Linked DNA regions of Oryctolagus cuniculus. The protein of the gene in region 3 binds, or shares a complex with, the protein of the main gene of each other region. Links are inferred from orthologs where the notes say so. Each region holds a gene or a part of one and is shown on either strand. Other genes may lie near its edges.

What was found.
Region 1: TMEM237 (region 3) and B9D2 share a complex: the UniProt entries of both Homo sapiens proteins name them as parts of the tectonic-like complex. The link is inferred for Oryctolagus cuniculus from reciprocal best matches to the Homo sapiens genes TMEM237 and B9D2.
Region 2: TMEM237 (region 3) and TMEM231 share a complex: the UniProt entries of both Homo sapiens proteins name them as parts of the tectonic-like complex. The link is inferred for Oryctolagus cuniculus from reciprocal best matches to the Homo sapiens genes TMEM237 and TMEM231.
Region 4: TMEM237 (region 3) and TMEM216 share a complex: the UniProt entries of both Homo sapiens proteins name them as parts of the tectonic-like complex. The link is inferred for Oryctolagus cuniculus from reciprocal best matches to the Homo sapiens genes TMEM237 and TMEM216.
Region 5: TMEM237 (region 3) and MKS1 share a complex: the UniProt entries of both Homo sapiens proteins name them as parts of the tectonic-like complex. The link is inferred for Oryctolagus cuniculus from reciprocal best matches to the Homo sapiens genes TMEM237 and MKS1.
Region 6: TMEM237 (region 3) and CC2D2A share a complex: the UniProt entries of both Homo sapiens proteins name them as parts of the tectonic-like complex. The link is inferred for Oryctolagus cuniculus from reciprocal best matches to the Homo sapiens genes TMEM237 and CC2D2A.
Region 7: TMEM237 (region 3) and TCTN1 share a complex: the UniProt entries of both Homo sapiens proteins name them as parts of the tectonic-like complex. The link is inferred for Oryctolagus cuniculus from reciprocal best matches to the Homo sapiens genes TMEM237 and TCTN1.

The regions. Positions count from the first base shown.
Region 1 is NC_091449.1:13,268,896-13,272,922, forward strand, and holds the start of B9D2 (B9 domain-containing protein 2), read left to right. Parts: upstream 1-1,227; 5' UTR 1,228-1,455; intron 1,456-1,529; exon of another isoform or gene 1,530-1,751; intron 1,752-1,824; 5' UTR 1,825-1,828; coding exon 1,829-1,916; intron 1,917-4,027. UniProt on the Homo sapiens protein: Component of the tectonic-like complex, a complex localized at the transition zone of primary cilia and acting as a barrier that prevents diffusion of transmembrane proteins between the cilia and plasma membranes.
Region 2 is NC_091449.1:57,934,800-57,939,048, forward strand, and holds the start of TMEM231 (transmembrane protein 231), read right to left. Parts: upstream 2,801-4,249; 5' UTR 2,698-2,800; coding exon 2,559-2,697; intron 2,466-2,558; coding exon 2,296-2,465; intron 1-2,295. UniProt on the Homo sapiens protein: Transmembrane component of the tectonic-like complex, a complex localized at the transition zone of primary cilia and acting as a barrier that prevents diffusion of transmembrane proteins between the cilia and plasma membranes.
Region 3 is NC_091434.1:38,296,816-38,301,082, reverse strand, and holds the start of TMEM237 (transmembrane protein 237), read right to left. Parts: upstream 2,801-4,267; 5' UTR 2,153-2,800; coding exon 2,111-2,152; intron 643-2,110; coding exon 611-642; intron 42-610; coding exon 31-41; intron 1-30. Other genes in the region: MPP4 (MAGUK p55 subfamily member 4), read right to left, coding at 3,300-3,494. UniProt on the Homo sapiens protein: Component of the transition zone in primary cilia. Required for ciliogenesis.
Region 4 is NC_091432.1:10,781,803-10,785,302, forward strand, and holds part of TMEM216 (transmembrane protein 216), read right to left. Parts: intron 353-3,500; exon of another isoform or gene 352-352; coding exon 150-351; exon of another isoform or gene 1-149. UniProt on the Homo sapiens protein: Part of the tectonic-like complex which is required for tissue-specific ciliogenesis and may regulate ciliary membrane composition.
Region 5 is NC_091448.1:33,643,763-33,647,715, forward strand, and holds the start of MKS1 (tectonic-like complex member MKS1), read right to left. Parts: upstream 2,801-3,953; 5' UTR 2,724-2,800; coding exon 2,644-2,723; intron 2,277-2,643; coding exon 2,167-2,276; intron 711-2,166; coding exon 640-710; intron 241-639; coding exon 85-240; intron 1-84. UniProt on the Homo sapiens protein: Component of the tectonic-like complex, a complex localized at the transition zone of primary cilia and acting as a barrier that prevents diffusion of transmembrane proteins between the cilia and plasma membranes.
Region 6 is NC_091433.1:10,482,299-10,486,487, reverse strand, and holds the start of CC2D2A (coiled-coil and C2 domain-containing protein 2A), read right to left. Parts: upstream 2,801-4,189; 5' UTR 2,462-2,800; intron 1-2,461. UniProt on the Homo sapiens protein: Component of the tectonic-like complex, a complex localized at the transition zone of primary cilia and acting as a barrier that prevents diffusion of transmembrane proteins between the cilia and plasma membranes.
Region 7 is NC_091452.1:8,272,264-8,276,370, forward strand, and holds the start of TCTN1 (tectonic-1), read left to right. Parts: upstream 1-1,307; 5' UTR 1,308-1,386; coding exon 1,387-1,600; intron 1,601-4,107. UniProt on the Homo sapiens protein: Component of the tectonic-like complex, a complex localized at the transition zone of primary cilia and acting as a barrier that prevents diffusion of transmembrane proteins between the cilia and plasma membranes.

The DNA.
Region 1 (4,027 bases), on a different chromosome or scaffold from region 3:
CAGCAGGTAGTTTGATTTTTTTTTTATTAAGTATTAATTTAAAAGGCAGAGTGCCAGGTGAGAGAGAAGAGAATGAAAAAGGAAATCTGCCATTTGCTGGTTACCTCCTCAGAGGGGGCAACATCAGGGCCTGGACCAATTCAAAGCCAGGAGCGCGTGCTGCATTCCGCCCTCCAAGCTCCTGAGTCCACTGCCTGCTGTCTGCTCAGACGCACCCCAGGAATCTGGGACTCAGCGGGCGCTCTGAGGTGCAGGCGCCACCAAGCCGGCCCCTGCGGGCCTATTGAAGACATCCATAGACGGTGACTCCTTCAGTCTGGAACAATCCCACAAGCTGGGTGCTGTCATTCACCCTGATGGGGGACAAACGGGAATAGATGCAAATGACGCTGGCCTCAAGTCTTCATGAAGCAGAAGCCCTGTGTACCCCACCCCGTGTGTCCGCGAGGACCAGGACCTGACGCCCTGCAGTCCTCGTTACCAGGGCTGCACGGAGCAGGCACGCACGACCGTGGCGTTCCCAGCTGTCTGTCAGGAACCTTCTTTCTCGGATGGCGCTACCTGTGTGCATGCTGTCCTGTGCACCTTGCTGCCTCCCCGGTCCTCCACGTGTGCAGCCCCCGCGGTAGGAGGCGCGGCTGGGCGGGACTCCCGGTCCTGAGGACCAGGCTGCCCTGGACGCGGAGGCGGGGAGAGGCGCTCAGGACCTCAGGCGCCCGCGTGCACCCGCCCCACGGCCCGGACCGCTGGGCCCGGGGACGCCGCTCGCTCACAGCACTGGCGGCGAACGTGCAGTCGCTGGGAGGGCCCGGACCGCTGGGCCTTGAGCAGCCTGGGGAACTCCGCAAGGGAAGGGAAGCCCCGCCCCAGCCTCTGAGTGTCTGAGAAGAGGTTGTTTCCGAAGTCGAGGCCGGGGGATGCACAGAATGACCCGAGGGAATTCCCCCGAGCTCAGGCTCAAGTCTCTCATGTGGGGTTCAGGACGGGAGACAGGTGTTCTTTAGGGGGAGGAGGCGGGCCGCGAAGCTTATTTTGACACATTTCCTGGAGAGGCTCTGCAGCACAAACAGTCGGCGCTCAAACTTCCCGGCCACACTCAAGATGGCAACTGCCCGACCACGCCCCCAACGGCGGATCCCGGGGCCGGGGCTTGGGAGAGGCTACGGAGAGATGTCCATCACGGCATTGCCCCGCCCCCGAGGACAGCGAGCACCAATCGGCCGCGTGCAGGGCGGGGGCAAGGCCAGGGGAGGAGCCTGCTGTTGTCCCAGCAACGGCCAGGGAGCCTGAGGCGAGGGCGGTCGCGGAGGTTCGCGCCTTAGCGCCCTTGCTGTCAGGGAGGTCCCACGGGAGGCGCGAGGCCGGCGTCGCTGGCGCCCGCGAAGAGGACGGAGTCGGCCCAGAACCAGCATCCGGCTGCCGCATTCGCTCCCACTAGCCGTTAAGCTCTGTGAGGTAGGAGTGACGCATGCGCAACGAGTAGGGGCGGGGCCGAGGTGTTCGGAGGCGGGCCTCGATTCAATACGCATGCGTCGTCGAGCCTGTGGCGGGGCTATCAGCCGCGGGGAGGCGGAGCTTTGATGGCTGTGGGTGGAGCTCTCGGCCCCTTAGCGGGACTTAGCCAGGTCAGGAAGAGGTTTAAGGAGGGCATAGTTAGGCACCGGTTCCCAAGTCTAGGGCTACTCCCCCCATCTCCCGGGGAGACAGAGTCGGTGGATAACTCTGCATCCTCAGAGGGTTGACAAAACCAGGTTGGTGGCCTTCTGCCCCTTGCTTGGGCCTCAGTTTCCCTACTCAGAGCTGATTGTTTCTTTTCCCTCCCAGCGCCATGGCTGAGGTGCACGTGATCGGGCAGATCATGGGGGCCACCGGGTTCTCGGAAAGTAGCCTCTTCTGCAAGTGGGGCATCCACACAGGTATTCCCCCCAGGCCTGGTCACTGCCCACCAAGACCCCGCGCTCTCCCTGGACCCTCCGCCCCACCCCGGGTCCTCCTCTCCCCATGGGCTTTCAGCACTCCCGGCCCTGGCCAAGGCTGGCCGCGTGAGGCCCGCACTTCCTTCCTGCCCCGTCTCCGGGGACCCTGGCTCCCACCCTCGGCATGCATGGCCATTGACGATGATGGGCTAGGGGGAGACCCCATCCACACGCTTCATGTCAGAGCGCTCCTGTTAACTCCACTTGCTGCCTTGGGGGTGTGTCCTGGGATCCTCCCCAGCTTTCTCGTTCTTTGACTAGCAGCCTCCATTTATTGAGTTCTTACTGTAAAGTAGAAGTTTGCACCCCAGACTTACAGAGGAGAGGCCACATCCTGTCGTCAGAATGCCTTTCGCTCTGAGAAGGCAGCAATCATCCAAGTCCACACGGCCCAGCAGGGACTTGGAGACCCAGTGTTTCTGTAGGTCTGCATGGAGGCCAGACCTTGTAGAGGTGCAGTGTGATGGCCAGGGTCATAGGCAGCCACATCTGGGTTCAGATACTAAGTCCCCATGTATGTATCTGTGGCCTCTGGACTTGACCTCTCCAGCCCTCGGTCTCCTTGTCTGAGAGGAACGGCACGGTGTGGATAGCAGCTGAGAGGCGGTGTGGCGTCGAGGTTAGGAGCACAGACTGCCTGGGTCCTAACCAGGTGTTTATGTTTTTTAAGGTTTATTTATCTATTTGAAAGGCAGAGTTACAGAGGCTGAGGCAGAGAGAGAGAGAGAGAGAGAGAGAGAGTCTTCCATTCGCTGGTTCATCCCTCAAATGGCTGCAACGGCCAGAGCTGAGCGAATTTGGAACCAGGAGTTGTTGGGTCTCCCACGTGGGTGCAGGGGCCCAAGCACTTGGGCCATCTTCTCCTGCTTTCCCAGGCCATAGTAGAGAGCTGGATCGGAAGTGGAGCAGCTGGGGCTCAAATGGGGCCCATGTGGGAAGCTGGCACCGTAGACAGCCTCTTATTAATAGGTGACGTTAGGGCCTTGTTTGTGCGTCTGCTTCCTTGTGTGCACATGGGAGCAGTAACAACGTGTGCCTCGCGGATCTTTGCCAGGCCTAGGGGAGCATGCGCAGCACGCAGAGCAGGGCTGGCTGGTGCTGTGTGCCTGGCTCGCGGGTGACTCCGACAGGGTCCCATTAGTGAAGCCCAGGCACGTGGCTGCCCAGCCCCAGTAACAACCTATGAGGTAGACGTGGCTGCGTCTCGGGCTTGGGTCCCTTGGACCTGACTTGGATGGGTGAAGTCGCAGGATCAGAGTCGGGCTCAGGAGTCAGACTCCATGTCTACCCGGGACCCCAGCACTCACCTGCTCTGTGATCCCGGGCTGCTGTCCTTTTCTTGGGGCTGTTTAAGTAATCTTGTGTCTACGCAGCCTGACTCAGGGCTTCCCTCACCAAGGCCAGAGGGAGTCATGCTTGGCTTTTATTATCGCAGGTGGCTTTGGGGCATTGAATCCAGCAGGGAGCTCAGAGACAGTGGCCGAGGGGCCTGGTCGCTGCAGTTGGACATTTTACAGACTTCTGCGCTTGGGGATCTTTGGGTGCTGTGGTCACTGCTGTATCCCCAGAGTGGAGAACAGGCTTGGCATACCCTAGGTGCTCAATAAATGTTCATGGAATAATTAACCAAGTGACTTCCTTCTCAGAGCCTGTTTCTGTACTTGGAAAATGGTAATCATAGCACACATAGCTTCTAGGGTCACTTAATTGTCCCAAAAAATATGTATCGACCACCTTCTGTATACCACGCACTGGGGATCCCGCCATGTGCATGGGCCAAGCTCTCCTGAAGCTCATTCTACGAGCGTCAGACACTATATAAGCCGCTGAAGAAACTTAACTCAGTGATTTCCAGTGGCGACAGTGCTGGGGAGAGAGAGAGGCAATGGCTATAGAGGGCGGGTGTTTAGCTCGGGGTTAGGACCTGCACATCCCGCCGCACACCTGGCTGCTGGCTTAGCTCCCTGCTAATGCCAGCCCTGGCAGGCAGCAGGGATGGCCTAAGTGACTGGGTTCCTCCCGCTTACGTAGGAGACATGGGTTGTGTTCCC
Region 2 (4,249 bases), on a different chromosome or scaffold from region 3:
GGTGCTGGTTCGAGTCCCAGTTGCTCCACTTCCAATCCAGCTCTCTGCGGTGGCCTGGGAAAGCAGTAGAAGATGGCCCAAGTCCTTGGGCCCCTGCACCTGTGTGGCAGACCTGGCAGAAGCTCCTGGCTCCTGGCTTTGGACTGGTGCAGCTCTCACTGTCGTGCCCAATTGAGGAAGGAACCAGCGATGGAAGACCTCTCTCTCTCTCTGCCTTTCCTTTTCTCTCTGTGTAACTCTGACTTTCAAATAAATAAATAAATCTAAAAAAAAAAAAAAAAAAAAGAATTAAGAACCAGGGCTAGCATTGTGGCGCACTGGCTGTAGGGGGTAGGGGAAGAAAATATTCCATTCGAGGCCGGCGCCGCGGCTCACTAGGCTAATCCTCCGCCTAGCGGCGCCGGCACACCGGGTTCTAGTCCCGGTCGGGGCGCCGGATTCTGTCCCGGTTGCCCCTCTTCCAGGCCAGCCCTCTGCTGTGGCCAGGGAGTGCAGTGGAGGATGGCCCAGGTGCTTGGGCCCTGCACCCCATGGGAGACCAGGAGAAGCACCTGGCTCCTGGCTCCTGCCATCGGATCAGCGCGGTGTGCCGGCCGCAGCGCGCCGGCCGCGGCGGCCATTGGAGGGTGAACCAACGGCAAAGGAAGACCTTTCTCTCTGTCTCTCTCTCTCACTGTCCACTCTGCCTGTCAAAAAAAAAAAAAAAAAAAAAAATTCCATTCGGTGGTACACTCCCCAAATGGCACGATGGCCAGGGCTCGGACATGCTGAAGCCAGGAACCAGAAGCTTATTCCAGGTCTCCCACATGGATACAGGGCCGCAAGCACCGGGCCATCCTCCACTGCTTTCCCAGGCACATTAGCAGGGAGCTGGATCGGAAGTGGGGCAGCCAGGATTCGAACCAGTGACCATATGGAATGCCAGGGCTTTAACCCGCTGTACCACAGTGCCAGCCCCAAAATTACCCAGTATGAAAGTGATCTCATGGTATGGGTACCATAAACATTAAGAGTTAGTTTTGGCTTCTCATTAAAATTGGAACTGCACGCCAGATGCAAGGGGGGACCAGGGCGGTGCACTGAAGGGAGTGGTTGGTTTCTGGTTGCAGAGCTAAGAGGCCAACAGCAGCTGTGTTGCACGAACCCGTAAAAACAATGAATGAATGAAACTTAATGGTTTATCCTTGTCTTCACAATTATCTCAAGCCTGCATGGTATTTCTTAGACTCAAATGACCAGAAGCACATGATAGAGAGGAATATAAACATGTGGAGAAAAAACCTGGGGCTAGTGCTGTGGCACAGTGGGTTTGACCTCTGCCTGCAGCGCCAGCATCCCCTATGGGCACCGGTTCAAGTCTTGGCGGCTCCACTTCCAATCCTGCTTCCTGCCACTGTTCCTGGGAAAGCAGCAGAAGACGGCCCAAGTACCTGGGCCCCTGACACCGACGTGGGAAACTGGGTACTTTCCTAATTAAAATAAGTCAATAGGGGCTGGCACTGTGGCGCAGCGGGTTAACGCCCTGGCCTGAAGCACCGGTATCCCTTATGGGTGCAGGTTTGAGACTCGGCTGCTCCACTTCCGATCCAGCTCTCTGCTGTGGCCTGGGAAAGCAGTAGAAGATGGTCCAAGTGCTTGGGCCCCTGCACCCACTTGGGAGACCTGGAAGAACCTCCTGGCTCCTGGCTTTGGATCGGTGCAGCTCTGGCCGTTGCGGCCAACTGGGGAGTGAACCATCAGGAAGACCTCTCTCTCTCTCGCTTTGCCTCTCCTTTCTCTGTGCAACTCTCATTTTCAAATACATAATAAATCTTAAAAAAAAAAAAAAGCCAATAAATTTCAGAAGTAACCAGAGAAAAACTATCTGTAACAAACTTTCTAGTTATTCATACGACCTATCATCTTTTTGCTGGGAACATTTTTTACACGAGTTTGTCTTGTAGGCCACTCACCTCAAGGACGTGGAAGAAGGAAAACTAGAAGTTTCGGCCCTCTTAAAGAAAAAGTCTCAATTTTACCCCGGACAGATGCACGCTGGAGCAGCCTCTGAGATCACGTGGGGCAGGCTCCCTCCGCCGGGGCCCTGCCGGGGAACAGGTGCGGGGCGCCCGGTCTCCGAGGGTCAGTCCTGCCCGGAGACGCCCGCCCCCGACCCCCAGCTTCCGCCGCGCCGCGTGAACGCGGCGACACCGCGGGACCCCGAGCGCGCACCGTGCCCGGCCCGGGTCAGCACGCAGCGCTGCCCGGGTACCTGGGCGTCTGGGGGAAGCGGAATTCCAGGCGGGAGCCACGCACCGAGACGAGCGGGACGCGCAGGCGATCCCCCTGCAGCCGGTTGAAGGCGGGGAAGGTGCTCCAGGCCAGGAAGCCGTCGCGCTCCGGTCCCAGCAGGGCCACGAGCAGTACCTGGTGTTGGAAGCGCACGGTCGGCTGCTCCTCGTAGCTGCTCCGCTTCAGCCAAAACCCTGAGAGAAGAAGGGCGTGAGAGGGAGAGGGGGACAGGTCAGGCAGGCCGTCCCGAGCGGAGGCGGTGGCGCGCACCGGCCTAGCAAGCTCACCGTGGCTCCGGAAGGCCACCAGCAGCGGCGGGATGTAGGTGAGCGCGGCGGCCAGGAGCAGGAACAGCGCTGCCTTGGAGCAGAGCCCCGCGCGGTAGCCGCGCTCGGCCGGGTGGGAGTAGAGCTGGTACAGCGCCATGGACGGCGCACGCCGAGACCCCTACGCAAACCGAGAAGGGACGACCAAGTTTGGCTGTTCCCGGCTGCCATCGTCGTGGTCTCCACGGCAACCGGCGGCGCCGGGAGGAGGACCAATAGTAGCGGCGCGGGCCTCTAGAAGGGGCGGAGCTACCTGGAGAGGGGCGTGGTCAGCCAGTGGACGGGCCACCGAGAGGGGGGCGTTGCGTGTTTTGCTTCGGGACGGCTGAGGACGGCTGAGTGGTCCACGCTGATGCCCGCAGGTCGCACACGCGTGGCCTCGCTCCTCGACCTGGTCCTGGACGAAGGCCAAGGCCGGGTTGCTCCGCCTCTGTGTTCTGTGGCTCCGGAAGCAGGACAGCGCACAGGACCCAAACCCTCGGCTCTGGGGCGGGCAGGGTCATTACTACGTACATTGTTACCTGTATTGGGTGCAGGTTCGGCTGCCGGTTTCAGAGGGAGCTACTAAACAAGATACATTTCTTTTTAAAAATATTTATTTGAAAGAGTGACAGAGGGAGGCAGAGATCTTTCAACTGCTGGTTCGCTCCCCCAAATGGCCCGAGGAGCCAGGAACTCCCTCTGGGTTTCCCACTTAAGGGCAGGGGCCTGAATATCTGGGCCATCATCATCTGCCTCCCAGGATGCCCGAGCAGGAAGCTGGAGTGGAAGCCGACCAGCTGGGACTTGGCACTCCCCTCTGGGACGTGTTGTGCAGTGGGTTAAGCCTTTTTTTTTTTTTTTTAAGGTTTAATAATTTATTTGAAAGAGTTACAGGGAGAAGGGGAGAGAGATCGTCCATCCGCTGGTTCACTCCCCAAATGGCCGCAGCAGCCAGGACTGGGCCAGGCCAAAAACAGGAGCCAGGAGCTTCAACTGGGTCTCCCACTGGGGTGCAGGGGCCCAAGCACTTGGCCCCTCCTCTGCTGCTCTCCCAGGTGGAAAGTGGATTGGAAGTGGAGCAGCCAGGACTCAGTTGGCACCCACAAGGGATGCTGGCCCTGCAGATGGTGGCTTAACCCGCTGCACCACAGTGCTGCCCCAGTGGGTTAAGTCGTACTTCCCAAAGATAACATTGGTTTATTGCTAATTGATTGCCCACCGCCTTCTCTGCCAAGCCAGTATTTTGAACAGGGTGGAAGGATTTTTAAAACCTATGATCCAAAAGAAAGGAAAAGAAAAAAAAAAGTAAGCAAACAACAAAAAAAAAGAAAAATAAATAATAAAACCAATGGTCCACAGCCAAGTTCTCCATCCAAAGGCCCTGAAGACTCCAGTTGCAGGATCAGGAGTCAGTGTGGGGGCCGGTGCTGTGGTGTAGTGGGTAAAGCCACCGCCTGCAGGGCCAGCACCCCATATGGGTGCCAGTTCGATTTCTGACTGTCTGCTTCGGTTCCAGCTCTCTGCTATGGCCTGGGAAGGCACTGGAGGATGGCCCAGGTCCTTGGGCCCCTGCACCCACATAGGAGACCCGGAGGAGGCTCCTGGCTTCACACTGAGGCAGCTCTGGCCGTTGTAGCCATCTGGGGAGTGGACCTGTGGATGGAGGACCT
Region 3 (4,267 bases):
TTTGATAATTTTACGTAATAATAAACTTACCTTGAATAGCACTTCATATAATACCGACCAAATGTAGTCAGCAGGAGAAAAACAAAAAAAGAAACCATTAATTACAAATCTACTTAAAATTAAATTTAAAAATAACTGAAACCATTATATACTTAAAATAAAATCAGCTTTCACACAATGTCAGCCAGGTTACAAACTAGCTTATTATTTGTGAGAACTATACCATGTAATACTACTAATAAAATAACCCCAACATTTTCAAGACCCACATACCCATATTCCCTATTGTCTATAAGAAAGCAGATTAGGAACTGTTATTTGTCACTCACTATAATCAGCTTAACCTCTCAGGAAACTATTCTGGCAAACAAAAGAGGATTAGAATTCTACTAACAAGCACGGATCTCCCCCAGCACACCACGGTGACAATCAGGCTTTTGAATAAAGGAGAACATTCAGTTACAACTGCTATCCTCAGGCCCCAAAGATGCTTTACCTTTAAATTTTTGGAAGTTTCTTCTGAATCATACTTTCTCAACACTACACGTCAAACATTATTCGCTTTATGTTTCTAAAGTTCAACAATTAAGTTACTGTCAATCATGTTTACCTTGGTACAGGTGGAAGAGCTCGTGGAGGCCGCTATGGGGGGTGGGAGGGAGGAAGAAAACTGTGGATAAGTAAAAGCCTGGGCATCTTCATGTAATCTCAAATACCCTTAAGTTCTTTCAACAGCCTGCTGTTCAGAGTGACAGAAAAATCTGATGGGCCACCGGTGAGGGCACCCTGACGGGTAATGGTAGAATCAGGGTTAAAGGACAGTAAAGGCCAAGCACACGCCCCAGGGTCAGAACAACGGAAGGAGTCTGGGTTTTGTTCTAATTCAACAGGAAGCCAATAGAAGTTTTCCGCCACTTTGTAACGTGCGCAGCAAGTAACAGTGCCACAGACAGGATTTTAGGGCAGAAAGGTTGATATGAATGAGAAAACTCGTGTTAGCAGTGCAGACAGCACTGCAGCTAAGATGCATTCTGGAATCCTTCAAAATCAACAATTTAAGGGTCCACGGATCTCGCTACTTGCAGGAGACAGCGCGGTTAAATTCTAGATACTAGGAGTTGGTCTCACCCAGCCATCCTTCTGTTCAAATAGTACATGAATGCAAATACTCCAAGATCCAGGACAAGGCTGACTGTCTTAATCCTATGCAGTGGTCAAACATTACACTGGAAAGGAGTCGCACGAAAGCGCCGCTGTTCTAAAGATGCTACGAAGCGCGTTCCAGCCCAAGGTCCAGTGCACTTGCTAACTCCCTCATTCAAACATCCCGCAAAAATGACGTTTCACCCACAGCAGAAACCCAACCTCTAAGCCCCTCTAAAGCAGGACGGCTCAACCCGAGACAAGAATCCTAACCGCTCAAACATAACCACCGCTCGCTTACCACCTGCTTCTTCCCCATTCTGTCTAAAGCCGGGCCCGTAGGCCTCCGGCCCCTGGGACGTGCGGCGCCACCCCCGCCCGCCCGCCCGGCCGCCCGCGCAGGCGCAGTGCGTCATCGGGCTGCGCGGCCCAGGCCGCTTCGGGCCCGCAGACCCCTCGGTGGGCTGTAGGGCGAGGGGGCTGTGGGTACCGGGGCCGGGCCTGACCTCTGCAGACTGGCCGTGCGGGAAACTGGGCTTAGGAGCCTGGGCTGACGGGCCGAAAGCAGAGGCTCCGGCGGCCGTGGGGCTCCAATCACGGTTTCCCCAGGGTTTGCTGTGATTTGTCTGCGGGGCGTGAGGGAGGACCTGGGTTTAAAAGCTCCGCAGCCACAACGCTCTCTTTCCGGGCGGAAGGCCCGGCGCTCCCGACGGAGCCTGGAAGAGCCGCTCGCTGGCAGCCGCGGAGCCCGCCCAGCCGGGGCGGCGGCGGACGGAGGCTGCGTCGTGGCAACGCGAGCTCAGGCCCCCGGACACTCCCGGCCAGCTCCGGGGTCCAGTAACGGCCCACGGGGCCGGGGCCAGTAGGGCAGGCCGCTGCTGCCCCCCACCGCTGGCCTCTGCCCCGCTCCGAGGGCTGCTGCTGCCCCAGGGGACCCTCGTGGCCGCCGCGCTCCCTCCCCACTCACCGGGCGGCCCTCCTCCACACGAAACCGCGAGTCGTCCCTCATGGCGATCGCCCCGCGGGGCTCCCTCAGGGCAACGGCCTCGGCCCGAGCCGGGCTCCCCGCGCCGCGCCGGCCTCCGGGACCTGCGGGAGGCGGCGGCTTCGCAGCGCCCGGCGAGACCGCTGACGCCCGAGCCGGGTCCCCGCCCGCCTCTGCTCTGCCTGGCCCCGCGTCTCCGGGCTCTGGGGTAGGGAGGAACGCCCGGACGCCCCGGGCTGGACACTCCCCGGCGGGACTCCGGGTGGGCGTGTGTATTGAAATAATTCTCACACCGTCTCCGACAGTGCGTAATAAACAATTGAAATAAACAGTTCTCACAGCGTCTACCGACAGTGCGTAAATCGAATCAGAAACCTTCTCAAAGAGCCACAACAGAAAATTAAATCAGCCTATCTAAATATCGTTTAAAATGACTGCATTTTCTGTTTTATTTGGATATTTTTAGAAAGGGAACTTATTTTTAAGTTTAAAAAAATGAGTCATTACATGCTTTATAGAAAGCGATGGGAGGGCTGGAATGGGTAGGGTGAGAGAGTGATGCAGAAGATGAACTGATAAGGGGCCGGGAGAGCTACTGGGGGGTCCCAGATACAGGGGAAGAAAGAAAAAGACCCTAGCATAGCATCCTCATCTCGTGGCTTTCTTCTAGGGACTATGCAGGAGACTTGCGGTATCTCAGTATCTCGAGGTGTTGATGTTACCCATGAAATGTGTACATTAACCTTTCTTGCTGAGTTAGCCAAGTAGATACTTTGTGTAAAAGGCATTCACAAAACAGAAGTTTCATAAAGTGCATTTCCGAAATTAAATACTGCTCATTTTATTTAGGAAAGCTCCTTTTAACTGAATCTTGGAAAGACCTGAAGTCCCTAAGAAGCGCTCATTCTTGGTGACGTTATTGATATGCCCACCACAACCGCATCGAAGGGGAAGGAAAAGAGAAAGGTTTCCCTAAATGCCAAATGTGTCACTCTGCACAGCCTTGCAATATAATACAGAGCCATACTGTTGCGATACTGTTAATGAACTGCAGCACTTATCCAGTTGCACACACTAACATGGGTCAGTACTGCTGTTAAGACAGCAGCTGTTATTCCAGGTCTCCCCGACAAGGCTGCAGCGCTAAAACTCCAGCCCGAAGCAGGGGACCTCATGAAGACTCGGTGTCGGAGGAAATCCACGTGGCGGGGACCCACTGAGGCTCCTCCTGAGCCTTCTGTACAACAGATAACAACCGGGCACACGCATCTTGCAAGTTGTCATTCACAATCACGTAATCAAAAAACTGGCCAAACTGAGCCTCCATTTTTTGGGCCAAATCCTCCATCTCTTGTAGGTCTTCATCCTTCAAATGAAACAGAAAAAGGCAGGTAGCACGGACTTCATGAGACAAATAGAAATAATACACGCGGATGCTGTCACATTCGTTGTGAAGCTATTTATTTAAAAGCAAGTAGGCTAGATGTTCGAAATGCGAACATCAATTTCAAATGAAAGTGAATAAGAAAAATATGACTTTGCAAATACAAAATGGCTGCTTTTAGCATGAGAGTGAGACCTGGCTATGTCGACTTGGACGTCCCTAACTCACTGTAATATTTTCTATTTCTACTATTATGAAATGTTCATTCTGTGAAGGCATTTGGCCTTCACTGGGCATTAAAACATTAAATTAATTGCTGTTATTTTAATGTGTCCATGAGCACTCAAAATACAAATTTTGCTGCAATACTCCCTTAAAAGGTGACCAAGTATGATAGTGACCATACATATGATAGTGAAACAAGTTTGCCATCAAAATGAGAACACAATTTTAAATGCCCCAGTGACTCAGAGAAGTCAGCCCCAGACTGTATCTGAAAGGCAAACTGGAGAATCAGACTTTCGTAGTCATTGAAAAAAGTAGGAAGATAAAAGTAACAAGATGGAGGATGATACAAAGGTGACTTGAGGCAAGCACTTGGCCTAGCAGTTAAGATGCTGGTTACAGTGTCTGCACCCAGGGCAGGTGCCTGGCACAGTGGGACACTTGGGACACCTGAATGCCACGGGGATTGCCTGGGTTTGAGTTCCAGCTCCACTCTGCTTCCAGCTTCCTGCTATTGCCCACCCTGAGGG
Region 4 (3,500 bases), on a different chromosome or scaffold from region 3:
TCCTACCTGCCCTAAGGAAAGGCAGTCCCGTAGACCCCCATGCCCCCTTAAAAGTCCTCTAGCTCCTTCAAGCTTCAGAACAATGAATCCCTCCCTGGGACAGGAACCCAGCCCCCTAGCGACGGGAAATGGTCCCTTGGCAGCAGTACCTGGACAAAGCAGCCAGGGTGAGCACCTCGAGCAGCAGCTCTGAGCCACAGAAGAAGAGCAAGATGCCGTTCATGACGGCTTCCAGGCGGAGCACGTAGGTCTGCAGCAGCAGGTAGTAGGAGGCCATCATGGCAGATGGGAAGCTCAAGGCCACACTAATGCCGAGGGGCATCTTTCGCTGGCAGAGGTTTCCCTTGGTACCTGTCAGACACAGCCCATGGAGTCACCTCCCATGGCCTGCTTTCCCTGACCTGGGAGGAAAGGTGGGAGGCAGAGACGAACTTGAGGAAGGATCTGTACCGAACACCGGAGGATCTGGCTGGGTTGTGGGATTGGGGTCTTTTACTCCAGAGGTCCCGCTTCCAATCTAACTCCTACTCAAGGACAACGGGATCTTCACTTGGGAAAAACAATTTTTTAACAACAAAAATAATATATAAATCATTGAAAATATAATCATAATATACTCATGCATATAATCACTGAAAACTTTTTCAACAGAGAAAACTTTAGAAAACATCCAAAGACCGCTGCATGTCCCCATTATAAAATGATAAAATGATGTATATAGTTCTATTAGTTTTTTAAGAAAAAAATTATTTATTTATTTGAAAAGCAGAGTCACAGAGAGAGGGTTGAGGGAGAGAAAGAGAGATCACCCATCCACTGGTTCACTCTCCAAATGGCCTCAACGGCTGGGCTAGGCCCACCCAAAGCCAGGAGCCAGGCGCTTCTTCCAGGTCTCCAAGGGGTGCAGGGGCCCAAGGACTTGGGCCATCCTCCACTGCTTTCCCAGGGATAGCAGCAGGGAGCTGGATCAGAAGTGGAGCAGCCAGCACTCAAACCTGCATCTATATGGGATGCTGGCACCACAGGCGGAAGCTTTACCCACTATACCACAGCACCAGCCCCTCTACTAGAAGTTTTTACATACGTATACATACTATCTTGCAACTTATTTTTTTCTCATAGATACAACTACCTTAATTTTCAATGGTTATGTATGATTCTACCAAACCAATTCCATGGTTGAACTACTCTTGTATTGATAGCTTGTTTCTAATGCTTTGATGTTAAAAAACTGGTGACGATAAATATTCTCATATAGCAATCTTCACATACTTGTGAAGTGTTGCCGTTTTAATCCAGTTTTCAATATGAAACCATTAGGTCTAAGAATATGAACCTTAAGGGGAAGGCATCTGACACAGCAGTTAAGTTGCCTCTTGGCATCCCCTATCTGAGTGCCTGGTTGAAGTCCCAGCTCCTCTGCTTCCGAGTCAGCTTGCTGCTAATGTGTACCATGGGAGGCAGCAGATGTGGTCCTTGCCACACACAGGGGAGATCCAGATGGAGTTCCTGGTTCCTGGCTTTGGGGCTGGCCTAGTCCTGGCTGTTGCAGGCATTTGCAGGGAGGGGGAGAGGGATGAATCAGCAGATAAAAGATCTCTCTCTCTCTCCTGGGGCAGGTGCTGTGGTGTAGTGGGTAAAGCCGCTGCCTGCAGTGCTGGCATCCCATATGGGCGCCGGTTCGAGTTCTGGCTGATCCACTTCCCATCCAGCTCTCTGCTATGGCCTGGGAAAGCAGTAGAAGATGGCCCTAATCACTGGGCCCCTGCACCTGCATGGGAGACCTGGAGGACGCTCCTGGCTCCTGGCTTTGGATCAGCCCAGCTCCGGCCGTTGAGGCCATCTGGGGAGTGAACCAGGGGATGGAAGATCTCTCTGTCTCTGCCTCTCAAATAGAAAAGTAAATCTTTTTTTAAAAAAGAAGTTTTTTCTCTCTGTGTGTCTGCCTTTCATATAAAATTAAAATACAAAATTTCAAAGGGATATGAATTTTTCACAGTAATAACTGTTACCAAACAGGTATTACTAATTTATAGTTCCACAAAAATATTTTAAGGGGGCCAGCGTTGTGGCATAGCAGATTAAGCCACTGGCCAAAATGCCAGTTTGAGACCTGGCTGCTCCACTTCCAATCCAGTCCCTGCTAATGTACCTAGGAAAGCAGCGGCAGACAGCCCAAGTGCTAGGGCCCCTGCATCCATGTGGGAACCAGGACGGAGCTCCAGACTCTCGGCTTCGGCCTGACACATCCCTGGAATTGCGGCCATCTGGGGAGTGAAACAGCAGATGGAGTATCTCTGTGTATGTTTGTCTTTCCTCTCTTTCAGACAAATTTTAAAAAGTTTTTTTTTTTTAGCTAGCCATCCCAGGGCAGGTGTCTGGCACAATTATTAGGTGCTGCTTTGCATGACTGCACTCTGTACTAGAGAGCCTGGGTTCGAGTCCGAGCTGTTGCTTCTGGTCCAGCTGCCTTTTTTTTTTTTTTAAAGATTTACTTATTATTTGAAAGGCAGAGTTAGAGAGAGGTCTTCCATCCACTGGTTCACTCCCCAAATGGCCACAACGGCTGGAGCTGGGCCAATCCGAAGCCAGGAGCTTCTTCTGGGTCTCCCATGCAAGTGCAGGAGCCCAAGGGCTTAGGCCATCTTCTACTGCTTCCCCAGGCCATAGCAGAGAGCTGGATCGGAAGAGGAGCAGCCGGCACTCGAACCACCGCCCATATGGGATGCCAGCACTGCAGGTGGTGGCTTTATCTACTATGCCACAGCACTGGCCCCTAATTTGCTTTTTCTTAGTGAGACTTGGCACCTTGTCAAGCTTATAAGTCCCATAATTATTCTAAAGTGAATTACCTACTAATGTCCCTTACCAATAAAATTACTTTTTCTTTCCTCAGTAATTTACGTGAGCTTCCTTATCCCTTCTTCCTTGTACTGCAAGTGTTTCTGTCCTCAGTTCGTCCTTCAACATGGCTTTCAGGGATAAGATACTCTAACAAGGGTTTTGCTCTGTGGTTCTGTAATATAAAACTTGTCCTAGGAGCCAGCGTTGTGGCATAGAGGGTTAGGCTTCCACCAGCCTCCAATATCGGTACCTATTTGTGTCCAGCTGCTTTACTTCTGATCCAGCTCCCTATAAAGGCCTGGAAAAAGCAGACGATGGCCCAGATGTTTGGGCCCCTGTCACCCACATGGGACACCAGATCAAGTTCCTGGCTCCTGGCTTGTGCCCGGCCCAGCCCTGGCCATTGTGGCCATCTGGGGAGTGAGCCAGATGATAGAAGATCTCTGTTTCTCTGTCTCTCCCTCTCTCTGTAATTCTGACTTCAGAAGTAAGTAAATCTTAAAAACAAAAACAGAAACAAAAGACTTGTCCTAAAGAGATCCTCATTCCAAGAAGTAGAGGGTATCTTAGCATGATCTGTGTATACCACCCTGGACATGGAGTCACAACTGGATCTGTTCTCTAAAACAAACCAGTGACAGGAACCAGGCACTCTA
Region 5 (3,953 bases), on a different chromosome or scaffold from region 3:
CCGATTTAGCACCCAGAACCCAGTGAAGCCAAAAAGCCAGGGGAGGCAAAGAAGGAAGCTACAGGGCCTTGGGAAGAACAATACCTCCTCCAAATTGGTGTAGCGGTCAGAGTCGGTGTAGGTAAAGATTCGTCGGTTCTTCCTGCCCCCCGACTGCTCCAGCTTCAGGATCTCTTGCCGGTACTGGTAATCCAAAGGGCTCTGACAGGCTGCTTCATTCTGGTACAGATCTACTTCAAACTGAGGTCGCCACAAGGAAACAGACATCCGAGATACCTCAAAATTCTGATCCTAGAACTACTACCAAATCAGTCCTAGAGAGCTGATATTATCTGACATAGCTCCATAATTAATTCTCATAGATTTAAACCAATGGAGGGCAGGGGACCCAAGAATGTTAGAGAGCAAAGGGGTGAAGCTCTAGTCCAACCGCATTGTTATAGGTGGCGTAGGGTCCACGGTGGGGAAACGTGCCTCACCCAGGGTCATAACACTGAGCGGTGGCGGTCACTATATTACACTGCCCTTGTAAACACAACAGAGGGAGGTACAAATTGCTACGACCATCCCAGAAATCACTTTGGCAATGTACAACCAGCCAGGTGGAGGGAGACCACGCAGTGAACGACACCGGCTCACCTGGCTAAAGAGCTTCTGCTGCCACCCAATGACCACCTCCTCATCTTCATCTTCCTCTGGGCGATGTCCACCTGCAAAGACAACAGAGTTACGTCACCACCATTTCTTGCTCTGAGGTTGATTGTAACCAAAGCCCCTACTCTTATGTTTGCCACAAAACCAGCAGGAGTTCAGTGATTTATTAAGCATTCAATGTAGACAAAGGATACACTGGAGTTAGCAGGAGTTGAAGCCAAGATTAAAACCCACAAAGTCTTAATCACTATTCTAATTTGAATAAAATGTAGTTCTGCCTTCCAGGAAGTAGTCAATTTAACTCATTGTCAGGAACTGAGCCTAGGATATAGGTTGACCAGCCAGCTCTTCTTCAATGCCAGCTGCCTGCATTTGCTAGGTAAGAACCCTGGCATTTTCATTTTAATTGTTCCTGAAGCCATACAGCTAGAATCACAATCATGTCAGAGACCAAGTGTCAGGAGAGGGCAGGGAAGGCAAATAAATGATTTGTTAAAGAACCAGATCTAACACACTCCAGGGGTGAGTATCTTTTTCAGAGACACAGCTTCAAAACCCCCATTTCACAGAGGAATACTTCTGAGTGCAGAGAAACAAAAGGCAGAAACACTAATGGCCCAATACAAGCACCAGCCTCTGTTCCTCACACCTATGGCTTCCCAGATAAGGAGAACCACAAGAACACTGTGGGTGTTCAAACGCACAGTCTGCAAGCAGTCTTCAATCGTAAAATTGTTTTTAAAAGTATTTACATGCATATGTAGAGTTTGAGCATATCTTTCTTAGACAAACGAACAAAAAGCCATAAATGGTACGGTTGCCAGGCCCATTTATAACATCAGATATACGCTATCTGTCTTTTGCCACTATACTGGACCACAATTTGCCTCAGTATCTTGATAGCAGGAATCGTATCTTATTCAATTTCCACAAATAACACGATGAAGTAGTTAACACCACCTTGGTTCAAGTGCAGGCTCCAACTATGTGACCTTAGGCAAGCAACACAATCTCTTTGCCTTCCATTTCTCCTAGGTAAGAAAGGTGCAGTTGGGGCCGGCGCTGTGGCACAGTGGGTTAAAGCCCCAGCCTGCAGTGCCGGCATCCCAAATGGGTGCCGGTTCGTGTCCCGGCTGCTCCTCTTCCAATCACAGCTCTCTGCTATGGCCTGGGAAAGCAGTAGAAGATGGCCCAAGTCCTTGGGCCTCTGCACCCGCATGGGAGACCTGGAAGAAGTTCCTGGCTCCTGGCTTTGGATCAGCTCAGCTCTGGCCATTGTGGTCATTTGGGAAGTGAACCAGCAGATGGAAGACCTCTCTCTGTCTCTACCTCTCTTTGTAACTCTGTCTTTCAAAGAAATAAAAATACTTAAAAAAAAAAAAAAAAAAAAAAGGTGCAGCTTTCTCTGAACACCACAGGCCTGGGTCTCTTCTGTCCTAACGGGAACCTCTACCCCCCAGGCCCTCCCTCGCCCAGGTCCCCAGGGGGCTGCGACTCCACCGTGACACCCACTGGCAGTGGGATGAGGCCTGAAGGTGGCCAAGTCTATGAGGTCCTTCCGAGGCTGGGCCGCAGGCTGGTAATGAAGAAAGCTGCCTGAGGTGATTCTTTGCAGGTGGACTCTGTGAAGAAAACAGAAGCTCGAATACGCGTTACAACACACACAACGCAGAGCAAGCATGGGAAATACAAAACACAGGGCAGGCGCCGGGTGGGGCGTGGGCCCTACGGGGAAGAGAGGGTGAGAGGACTACTGCGGAGCCAGGGCTTGAGGAATCGGAGAGCGACAGGCCTTGAAACGACCTGGCTGGGTGTGGAAGGCGAGCTTGGAAGCCCTACGTACAGAAGATCTGGGGAATGCAGAGCGATGTAGAGAGACCAGGGAGGAAGATCGGGATTGTAAGCGCAAGTGGGGGCCTCAGAAGAACGACAAGTTCAGGCTCGAAGGGCATAAAAGCATAGCACCCCGGGCTGGGGCGGCGCGACTACCGGAGGCGCAGGTTGCGCACAGGGTCCCGGGAGCGATACACTGCTTCCCCGGTGTCAGTACTCCAGACGGTCTCCGCCATGATATCTGCGACGCGCAACGACTGCGCCGGAAAGCACACCGCCCCCAGTTCCCCTGGCAACGCAGACGCTGGGGCGGAGACGCTACGCACGCAACCCGCCCTTCCCGCCGCGGCGTCGCCCCCTAGCGCCCCAGAGCGGGCAGTGCAGGAGCCTGCGAATGTCCGCTTTACCATTTGTGCGAACGAGGATCACTCACTCCTGAGGCGGGACTTAAGGCGCTGTACAAATGAGGGGCCAGGCACAGCCGTCAGCCCACTTGGCGTAAATGCAGGGTGATGAGACTAGACCTGTTTTCCCACTGTGCCGTACTGTCTTCCGCTGAACGCAAGAAAAACGGGCGGAGGAGACTGAAAGAATGCACCCATTAATCCCAAAGGAATCAGGGAAGGTGGTGGCACTCCCCAGACACGAACGCACATTCTTCAAGGGGCGGGGGAGGGGGGGTGCGGGTGTCCTACTTATTAGTCGTTGTGTTGGTATTCTCTGGGCCAGAGAAGGAAAAAACAGGGAGGGCCAACAGTTAAAACAAGGAAGACAGCAGCAGGAAAGAAGAGATGTAGTCATGGCACAGGTTCCTCCCCTGTGTGTTAGTTCCAGATTATTAAACTAACTGCTGTGCTGCCCTGGCCCTCTGAGAAGCCCACAGAGTGACATTCAGGACATGCCCTAACCTCAGCTGGCTCCCTTTAACATCTGCTACTTCCCCAACAGGGTTAGCAGTTGTCCCCTGAATTCAGGAATCAGTTTGATTGCATGGCCTTGAACACCTGGGGTGCCATAGCTGCTGTTTGTGCCTTGCCAAGGACTCTCCATAAATAGCACCATTTAGGTAGGAGCTAATTTAGCCTGGGAACTTTGTTGGCATTGTTCCCAATCCTCATGGAAACCCTAAGTCCATTTTTATCCCCATTTATTTTTTTAAAAGATTTATTTATTTACTTGAAAGTCAGAGTTACACACAGAGAAAAGGAGAGGCAGAGAGACAGAGAGGTCTTCCATCCACTGGTTCACTGCCCAGTTGGCCGCAATGGCTGGAGCTGCTGATCTGAAGCCCAGAGCCAGGAGCTTCTTCCAGGTCTCCTACGCGGGTGCAGGGGCCCAAGGACTTGGGCCATCTTCTACTGCTATCCCAGGCCACAGTAGAGAGCTGGATCAGAAGTGGAACAGCCGGGACTAGAACCAGTGCCCAAGCGGGATGCTGGCACTGCAGGTAACTGCTTTACCCGCTA
Region 6 (4,189 bases), on a different chromosome or scaffold from region 3:
TCAACCACACAAAAAACCCAGAAGGAGGCCCTCCTTAACCTAGAGCTAACCGGGGGTCCACACTGAGAATGCAAATTCCAAAGGGCACAGAAACTGTCTCATAAATGACTCTGGTCGTTGTGAACGCAAAAAAAGAGTCCAGAAATACTTTAGTCACTAAAACACAGAAGAAAAATCACAAAGAAACAACAGAAGTCTAAAATGAAAAATGTAATGGGGTTGTTTTTTTCCCTTTCATTCTTTCCTGATCATTAACTTTGAATGAGATTCTAAGGAAATCAAATGACACCAAAATTTATTTTTGTTATGAACTCTGTTGCTAAGAAAAGATAAATCAATATTGCCCAGTGTTCATCCATGGCTTGCCTTCCTCACATGCACTGGGTGCTTGTTAATATATTCCTACTGGAAACATCAAAACAAGAGCTATGATTTACTGCACAGCTATTTTTGGGATCTTCCGATAAACGTTCTTTTTTGGTTCTCGCGGTAACACTCCGAGCTCAGCAACGCATGCCCCATTTATACACAAGGAAACTGAGGCTCTTGCAGACTCCATAGTTTGTACAAGGTCGTTGTTATGAAATGCCATGTTCAGAATTTGACCCCAAGACTCTAAGAGCCCAGAGTCCTCCCCCTTCCAGGCTACCGTGAATGATTGATTTCAAAAGAAAGCACGTTTTTAAAGGAAAAGTACTGATGCTTCCTCTGAACAAATGAACTAGTTCCAAGCATTGTCAGAGGGCCAGAGCCATACCTAGAGGGTCCTGTGAGTGGGGACTACTGTATGAAAGAAGAGGAAAGGAGAAACACGGTTCACAGAGCATTTCCACCTCGGCGCTTAAATCCAACACAGTCTGTGCCTCCTTCTGTCGAGCAGTGACACGATGGGTTTACAGAAGCATGTGAGGCCTTTACAAAGAGTTGTGTGGCCCTGAGTTCAAATTCCAGCCATGCCTTCACCTCCCTGAGACAGGCTCCTTCGCTGGTAAAATTGCGAACGTGTTCCAACCTCAAAGAGCAATCAGTTGTAAGGACTCAGTGGGAGGAAGTGAGTAGTAAAGTGTCTGTCAGCACTGGGCTCTAGGTAGGGTGAGGTGTCATTAGCAAGAAGAGGTGACAGTTGAAGGGAAAGGTGAAGAAAGGAGTGAGGAGGGAAAAGAGCTTGAGGGACAGAAAGCCCTGGGGTGACATGGGAGCCACTGTACTTACAGGCTTGACTTCCCACCTTCAGCCCTGGCTACCATAACCCACCCCTTCCCTCCAGTCAGGTCCAAGGCCATTGGTCTTCTGTTTCCATTTATGGTGCCTCTGAGAGGTCCTGCCCTATTCTCCGGAGCACGTTCTCCATCTCACCCTCAGAGCATTTGTCTGTCCCAGCCTGTTCCAGTGGGAACTCGGAAACCTGGGGAGGTGCCGCATGCACCCCTTTTGATTTCATTTTCTAACCCAATGAGTTATTCCAACCATGGCTCCCCTTAGTACCACGCTAGAGGCAGATAGCTTTACGGAATCATTTATCAGCTTGATATAGTATATACTGCCCTCAAAGAGCCCAAGTAAATGCCACATTTGAGCTGCCCTCGGTGGTATATGGCTAATGCATTGACCCGATATGCTAAGGACTCCCTAGGGGTCCCCAGGTGCTCTAAGCCCTTTAGACCCTTTTGTAAATCTCCTTTGTCACTTAGCTCATTGTAGTATGATCATCTGTTTATAGGGCTCTTTCCCCAGCAAGCTGGATTTCTGATCTGGTCTAATTTGTTTTCTCACACTCTAAACCTAAGCATGTTGTCTGGTACATTGTTAATGCTCAATAAATGTTTGAATCAACGACTCTGTAAATGTGCTGTAGGAGATCTGTCTGTCTATATCCATCTTTCTATGGAAAGAGATATTTCACACCAGTACTCAATTTATTTGCAGAAACTGTTCGTACAATGCAACAGCAGACCTGGATTTCCTGCTAGACTTCGTTAGTTTTTCATTGCATCCTTCTGCAGTGAAAGGAAACAATCTGTTTTAATTGCAGCCAGTGGATTTTCTAGCGGTCTTTTGGAAAGCAATGCAATCCGCAGCTCTGTGGTTAATCACCCCTTGCTTAAGGCCACTGAAGTTTGCACCTACAAGTACTTCTCCCCATGACCCACACAGAACGGAAAGGCCCAGAAATGCAACGTGCGGCAAAGGATTTGCTGAGTGCTGGTCTGGAGGCTGCGGGATCAGCCTGACTTAACACTTCCTGCATACCAGACGCCAGAAGGCAGCTTGAATCAAAACCACCCCAGTACTGCTCTACGTATTCCCGTCCCAGGAAGTAAAAATGTAAATAATGAAGAGATCCCCTGGACGGCCAGTTCATGAAATCTACTCTCAGGGTGCCCAGGGAGAGGCTGCACTCACTCGGAACCCATAACTGCAAACAGGAAAGCGTCACTGCTCCCGTTACGAACTGATTTACCTTACGTGCTTTACAAAAGGCACTTGGCTGCTTCCCGGAAGAGGAGGAAGGTGGAGAGAGATGGTCCTTGCTGTTGAATCCTCTGAGTGGCCGGAAGGGAAAGGCAGTGAGCTGGGGAGGCCCCGGGCTGCAGCCTGGGGAGCTGCAAGCCACGGCCCAGAGCAAAAACACCAGCTTAGCAACCCGTTCCTAGGGAAGGTCACTGGAGGCTTTTTTTTTTTTCTTTTAAAGTGACAGCTTATTTCTAGTAGTGGAAGGCAAGCCTCCCAGGAAAACGGAGGCAAAGAGAAACCAGCTTAGCGGGGAGCTGAGCAAAATGAGGGAAAACACTAGGAGTGCAGCTTCCTCTTGTCATCAGCTGGTCCTCCTGCATTTCATGTAAATGACAGGTGATGACAAGGATGGGGCAACTTAGACTCAGAGAAGGTCATCGTCACCTGATTCTGGAGGTGCCGCAGGCCACCAGCAAATACTGCGCTCAGCGACTTTCGGGCTAAACACGGAGGACTGACTGCACAGGTTTCATCTCTGCTTGTTCTCCGAATCCCACTGCAATCACTAAAAGGGGATTACATGTTACAGCTCAAAGCAGCAAAGGAAGTGGGAGAAGAGGCAAAGCAGGTGGCAGAGGAATTGGGCTGAGCAGGCCAAGGGAAGCCACATTCCAAGTGTACTTGTTTCTGTGTGTGTCTGCTCACGCCTAGGTCTCTCTCTCTCTCTCTCTCTCTCTCTGTATGTGTGTGCGCACTGGCTGTATTTTTTTGTTTTCTGTATTCTGGTTGCTCTGACATTTGGGACCTTGATCCTGGAGACAGCCTGCTGGAAACTCTACTTTCATATACAAACCAAGCAAGCGGGAGCCCCCCACACACCATCAACCTTTACCAACCTCTCACTTACCAGACCAGTGCTTCCCTGTCCTGACTCATCCCACGGCCAGGTAGCAGACACCCGAGAATACTTCCTGCAGCCCAGATCCCACCAGCATGGTTCAAACTCACTAAACTTAGCACACTTACCCTGCTTCTCCCATTCCTTCCTGGGAAAATCTCCAGAAAGACTCTGGCCCATCCTCTGCCTTTAGGGCTCCTGTGGGTGGCCTTGCATGGTGAGCCTTGGACAATCATTTGGGTGTATTGGAAACTTAACCCCAGTGCAACAGTGTGGAGGTGTTGGCCTGATGAGAGGTGATCAGCTCAGAGGTCTCTGTCCTTGGTGATTGGACTAATGCAGGTACAGGAGTGGGCTCATTACCACAGAGTGGTTTCCTTATGAAAGGATGGGTTTGGGGCCAGCGCTGTGGCGTAGTGGGTAAAGCTGCTGCCTGCAGTGCTGGCATCCCATATGGGCACCAGTTCAAGTCCCAGCTGCTCCACTTTCGATTCAGCTCTCTGCCTTGGCCTGGGAAAGCAGTGGGAGTTGGCCCAAGTCCTTGGGAGACCCAGAAGAAGCTCCTGGCTCCTGACTTTGAATGGACCTAGCTCTGGTTGCTGTGGCCATCTGGGGAGTAAACCAGCAGATAGAAGACCTCTCTCTCTCTCTCTCTCTCTCTCTCTCTCTCTCCCTCCCTCTGCCTCTCTGTAACTCTGCCTTTCAAATAAACAAATAAATCTTTTTTTTAAAAAAGGGAAAGGATGGGTTTTTCCTTCTCTCTTGCCCTTCTGTCTTCCTCCATGGGATAACACAACAAAAAGGCCCCTTCCAGACTCAGGTCCCTCAGCCCCGGCC
Region 7 (4,107 bases), on a different chromosome or scaffold from region 3:
TTTGGAAAATATATATATTTTTAAAGGGAAGTATTTCATTAGTTCGTCATAAAAAGTTTCAGGTGCAAAAGCAAACTCTTGTAGGAAAATTTGGAAATATCTATGACACATCTGTGTGATCCTGATATATATATTTTTAGAAAATGTATTTATAGGTTCGGTGCTGTGGTGTAGCCGGTTAATGCCCTGGCCTGAAGTGCCGGCATCCCATATGGGCACCGGTTCGAGTCCTGGCTGCTCCACTTCCCATCCAGCTCTCTGCTGTGGCCTGGGAAAGCAGTGGAAGATGGCCCAAGGCCTTGGGCCCCTGCACCCACGTGGGAGACCAGGGAGAAGCTCCTGGCTCCTGGCTTCCGGTCGGCGCAGCTCCAGCCGTTGCAGCCATCTGGGGAGTGAACCAGTGGATGGAAGACCTCTCTCTCTCTGCCTCTCATCTTTCTGTGTAACTCTGCCTTTCAAATAAATAAATACATTTTTTATTTGAAAGGCAGAGTTACACAGAGAGAGGGAAAGACAGAGGAGGAAGACGGGGGAGAAGAAGGGAGGGGAGGAGAGAGAGTCTCCCATGTGCTGGTTCACTCCCCAGACAGTTGTAAAGGCCAGGGCTCGGCCGGGCTGAAGTCTGCGGGAACAGCACTGGGTCTCCCACGTGGGTGCAGGGACCAGCCGCTGCTGCTTTCCCAGGTGCAAAGCCGAGAGCTGGGATCCCGCAGGTGCTCATGTGGGATGCTGGCACGGCCGGCGGCGGCTTACGCGGCCGGGCCGCAACGCGGGCCCCTCCAGTCATACTTGTAGGCAGCGTCTCTGGAATGCACCGGGAAGACGTCTGATTACCTAACTTTGCTACGGGCATGTAATAAGTGAGCTGTGTCCTCGTGTATTGTTCAGCATTCTTCCAAACTGGTCGATTCGTAGTTACAAACTGCCCGTTTTTCCCTTTAAGACTTACGCACTGTTTTACTTATTGTCAAACTTGCAAAAAAAAAAAAAAAAAAAGTGATTATCTGACCCAGAAGCTCCCTGGCGACCCTCCGCGATGCGGCTAAAACCGAAAAAGGAGAAGTCAACGGCCACAGGGTCTGGGCCGGGAGAACTGAGGGGCCGCGGCGCGTCGGACGTCCACGCACTCGTTAAAAACCCCGAGAGCCGGGCTGGGCGCTGGACTTACGGATCCGCCTGGAAACCCGCCGCTCCCAGTCGGCGCCGCAGGCCGGCCGCGAACCCCAGCCGGGTTCCCGCGCCGCCGCCTCGGCCCGCCTCCTGGCGCGCGCCCCGCCCCCTCGCGCTGCCTTGTGGGCTTCTTCCCGTGGTGCCCCGCGCCCGCGGTGGCGGTTGCCGGGCAACGAGCGGCCCCTCGCGCCGGCCGCGCCGGGGTCCCCGGGGACTATGGGGCTGCCGGGCCTCCGGCCGCTCCTGCTGGTCCTGGCGGGCTGCTGGGCGGCGGTGAGGGCCCAGACCTCGGCGACCCCGGCCGCGACCTCGGACAACTTCACTGAGGCAGCCCCGGCCACTTTAGGACCGTCCGTGTCGCCTACGCCCCCCGGAACCTCCCGAGCCCCGGAGCCCTCCTTCGGCTCCAGGCCCGCGCCGGTCACGGACGGTGGGTGCCGGGCGCCGACTCCTGGGGGTGGGGGTCCACCGTGACTGGAGGGGGCAGCCGGGTGAGGGTGCGGCGCTCCGTGGACACCCGCGGCGAGCCGGCCGTGCTGGGTGTCGCCTGGGCGTCCGTCCTCTCGGTCACCGCGGGCGGCCGACGTTACTGTCCACGCGTGCAAGGGCGGCGGCCGAGGCGCGGGGAGCGTCAGCCACGCGTGTGGCGGCCGATTTCCAGGCCGACCTGACCTGGGCGACTTCGGGGTGGGTGGGGGGTGTCCGTGCGACCCCTGGAGTCAAGGGTCGTTAGCAGTCAGATTTTTAAACGGGTTTGTATCCTAAAAAAAATTAATCCTCTGAATCCAGAGGGGATTGAGAGGAACCTCCGTAAGGTGTGCGGCATTGTTTTTTATTTGTATTTTATTTTATTTTAAGATAAATATTTATATATATTTTATTTAAAAGATTTTATGAATCTTTATTGTATTTTATTTTATTAAGTTACTTTGCAGGTGAAATGCATAGCACAGTGCCCCCTGCACAGTGAGTGGTTAATCCGTTTTTATTTCCCCTCTTGAGAGAAAAGTCGATTCTGAGATTGAGTAAGGCAGAGTAGTAGTAAATTTAAAAAGCCCCATTGGCTGACAGCCTGCACTCTAGTTCCTAACTGTTATTTCTTTCTTTCTTTTTTCTTTTCTTTTTTTTTTTTTTTTTGACAGGCAGAGTGGACAGTGAGAGAGAGAGAGAGAGAGAGAGAAAGGTCTTCCTTTGCCGTTGGTTCACCCTCCAATGGCCGCTGCGGCCAGCACACCACGCTGATCCGATGGCAGGAGCCAGGTGCTTCTCCTGGTCTCCCATGGGGTGCAGGGCCCAAGCACCTGGGCCATCCTCCACTGCACTCCCTGGCCACAGCAGAGAGCTGGCCTGGAAGAGGGGCAACCGGGACAGAATCTGGCGCCCCGACCGGGGCTAGAACCCGGTGTGCCGGTGCCGCAAGGCGGAGGATTAGCCTAGTGAGCTGCAGCGCCGGCCTCTGAACTGTTATTTCTATAAAAAGTCCTTTATAAATTATGAGTAGTCTGTAAGAAGAAGTACAAAGATGTTTCTCTCTGAATAAACGGAACTTAAACATTTTAACCTGTTGATTTGATGAGTTAATGGAGAAGTTAGGTCAGTGGTAAATTAGGACAGCATAGTTTCCGTGCCCAAAATTCCCTGAAGTTGTTGGCCTGGGTTGTCTTTTACCCGTGTAAGGACCCCATCCGTTAATGCACTTTCTTCCCAAGTGAAGTGTTCCTGAACCATCATGATTAGGGTTTGTGTTTGGGGCTGCTTTTCCAATACGGAGGGTGAATCTGTACTTGTCCTTTTTGTTTTAAAAGAACTCCTCTTTAGAAATAGGGTGGCAAGAACTCATTTATTAACTGCCTGCCGCGTGGCAGATGCCAGGCCGTGCAGTTCATCCGTGTTGTCCGTGCGATGTGGGTATGGTTAGCTCCATTCTTCACGGAGGTGAGTGACTGGTGCGATTTCAGGTCACACAGCTGCTGCGTGGTGACGCAGGAGGCTGGCTGGCAGTGGAGAACTGGGTGGGCGTCTGCAGAATGGGTTGCAGGCCCGCTGACTGCATCTGAGCTCTGGGCGTTAGCACCCTGGGAGGTCTTGGGAGGCCCAGGGCGCAGGAGAGCCGCTGCTGAACAGACACTTCTTGGGTGAGGAAGTGCACTCCCGTCCCGGACAGGTGGACAGGTGACCTTTTGGTTCCTAAGTGGGGTCTGAGCAGGATTGCTTCATCCTTAATAGTCTCACTGCTGTCTACCAGGGTTGTAAGTTTTGAAAACAAATCGCGGTTGTAATTTGAAACACACAAGCTAGGAAACCTGAATGAAAAAATAGCATTAGCCCCAGTGTGTCATTATTTCACTACCCACATTATTCTCTTGGCTAGAGAAAAGCCTGTAAACTTAAGGGCGAAACATTTACATCTCAAAGTAAGAAGAACGTTGTGTGCATTGGCAGAACCTTCCCCTCTCCCTTTTCCCGGAGTCTGTTTTACCTTTCTTAGGTTATATCTTTCTAAATCTCACTTTGTGAGATAATTCATACGTACACACAAGAATGTTGTATGGGCCCTCTGCCAGCATTTGCTTTGAGATCTTTTGTCCCCCCACCCATGTTTGTTTCTTTTTGCCTGTTTGAAAGAGTAACAGACAGAGTGTTGGTTTGCTGATTGATTTCCTAAATGCCTGGAGTAGCTCCAGTTAGACCAGGCTGAAGCCTAGAACTCCATCCTTGTCTCCTACGGGGGTGTCAGGGACCCGAGGGCATCGTCTCCTGCCTCCTGGGATGCCTGAGTAGGAAGCTGGATCTTGAACCAGTGTCTGAGATGGGATGCGGGTGTCCCAAGTGGCGGCTTCCCCGGGGTCACAGTGCAACATTGCAGATAAGATGAGTGAATCGCAGAGGGAAGACCTCTCTGCCTCTGCCTCTGCCTCTGCCTCTGCCTCGCTGAAG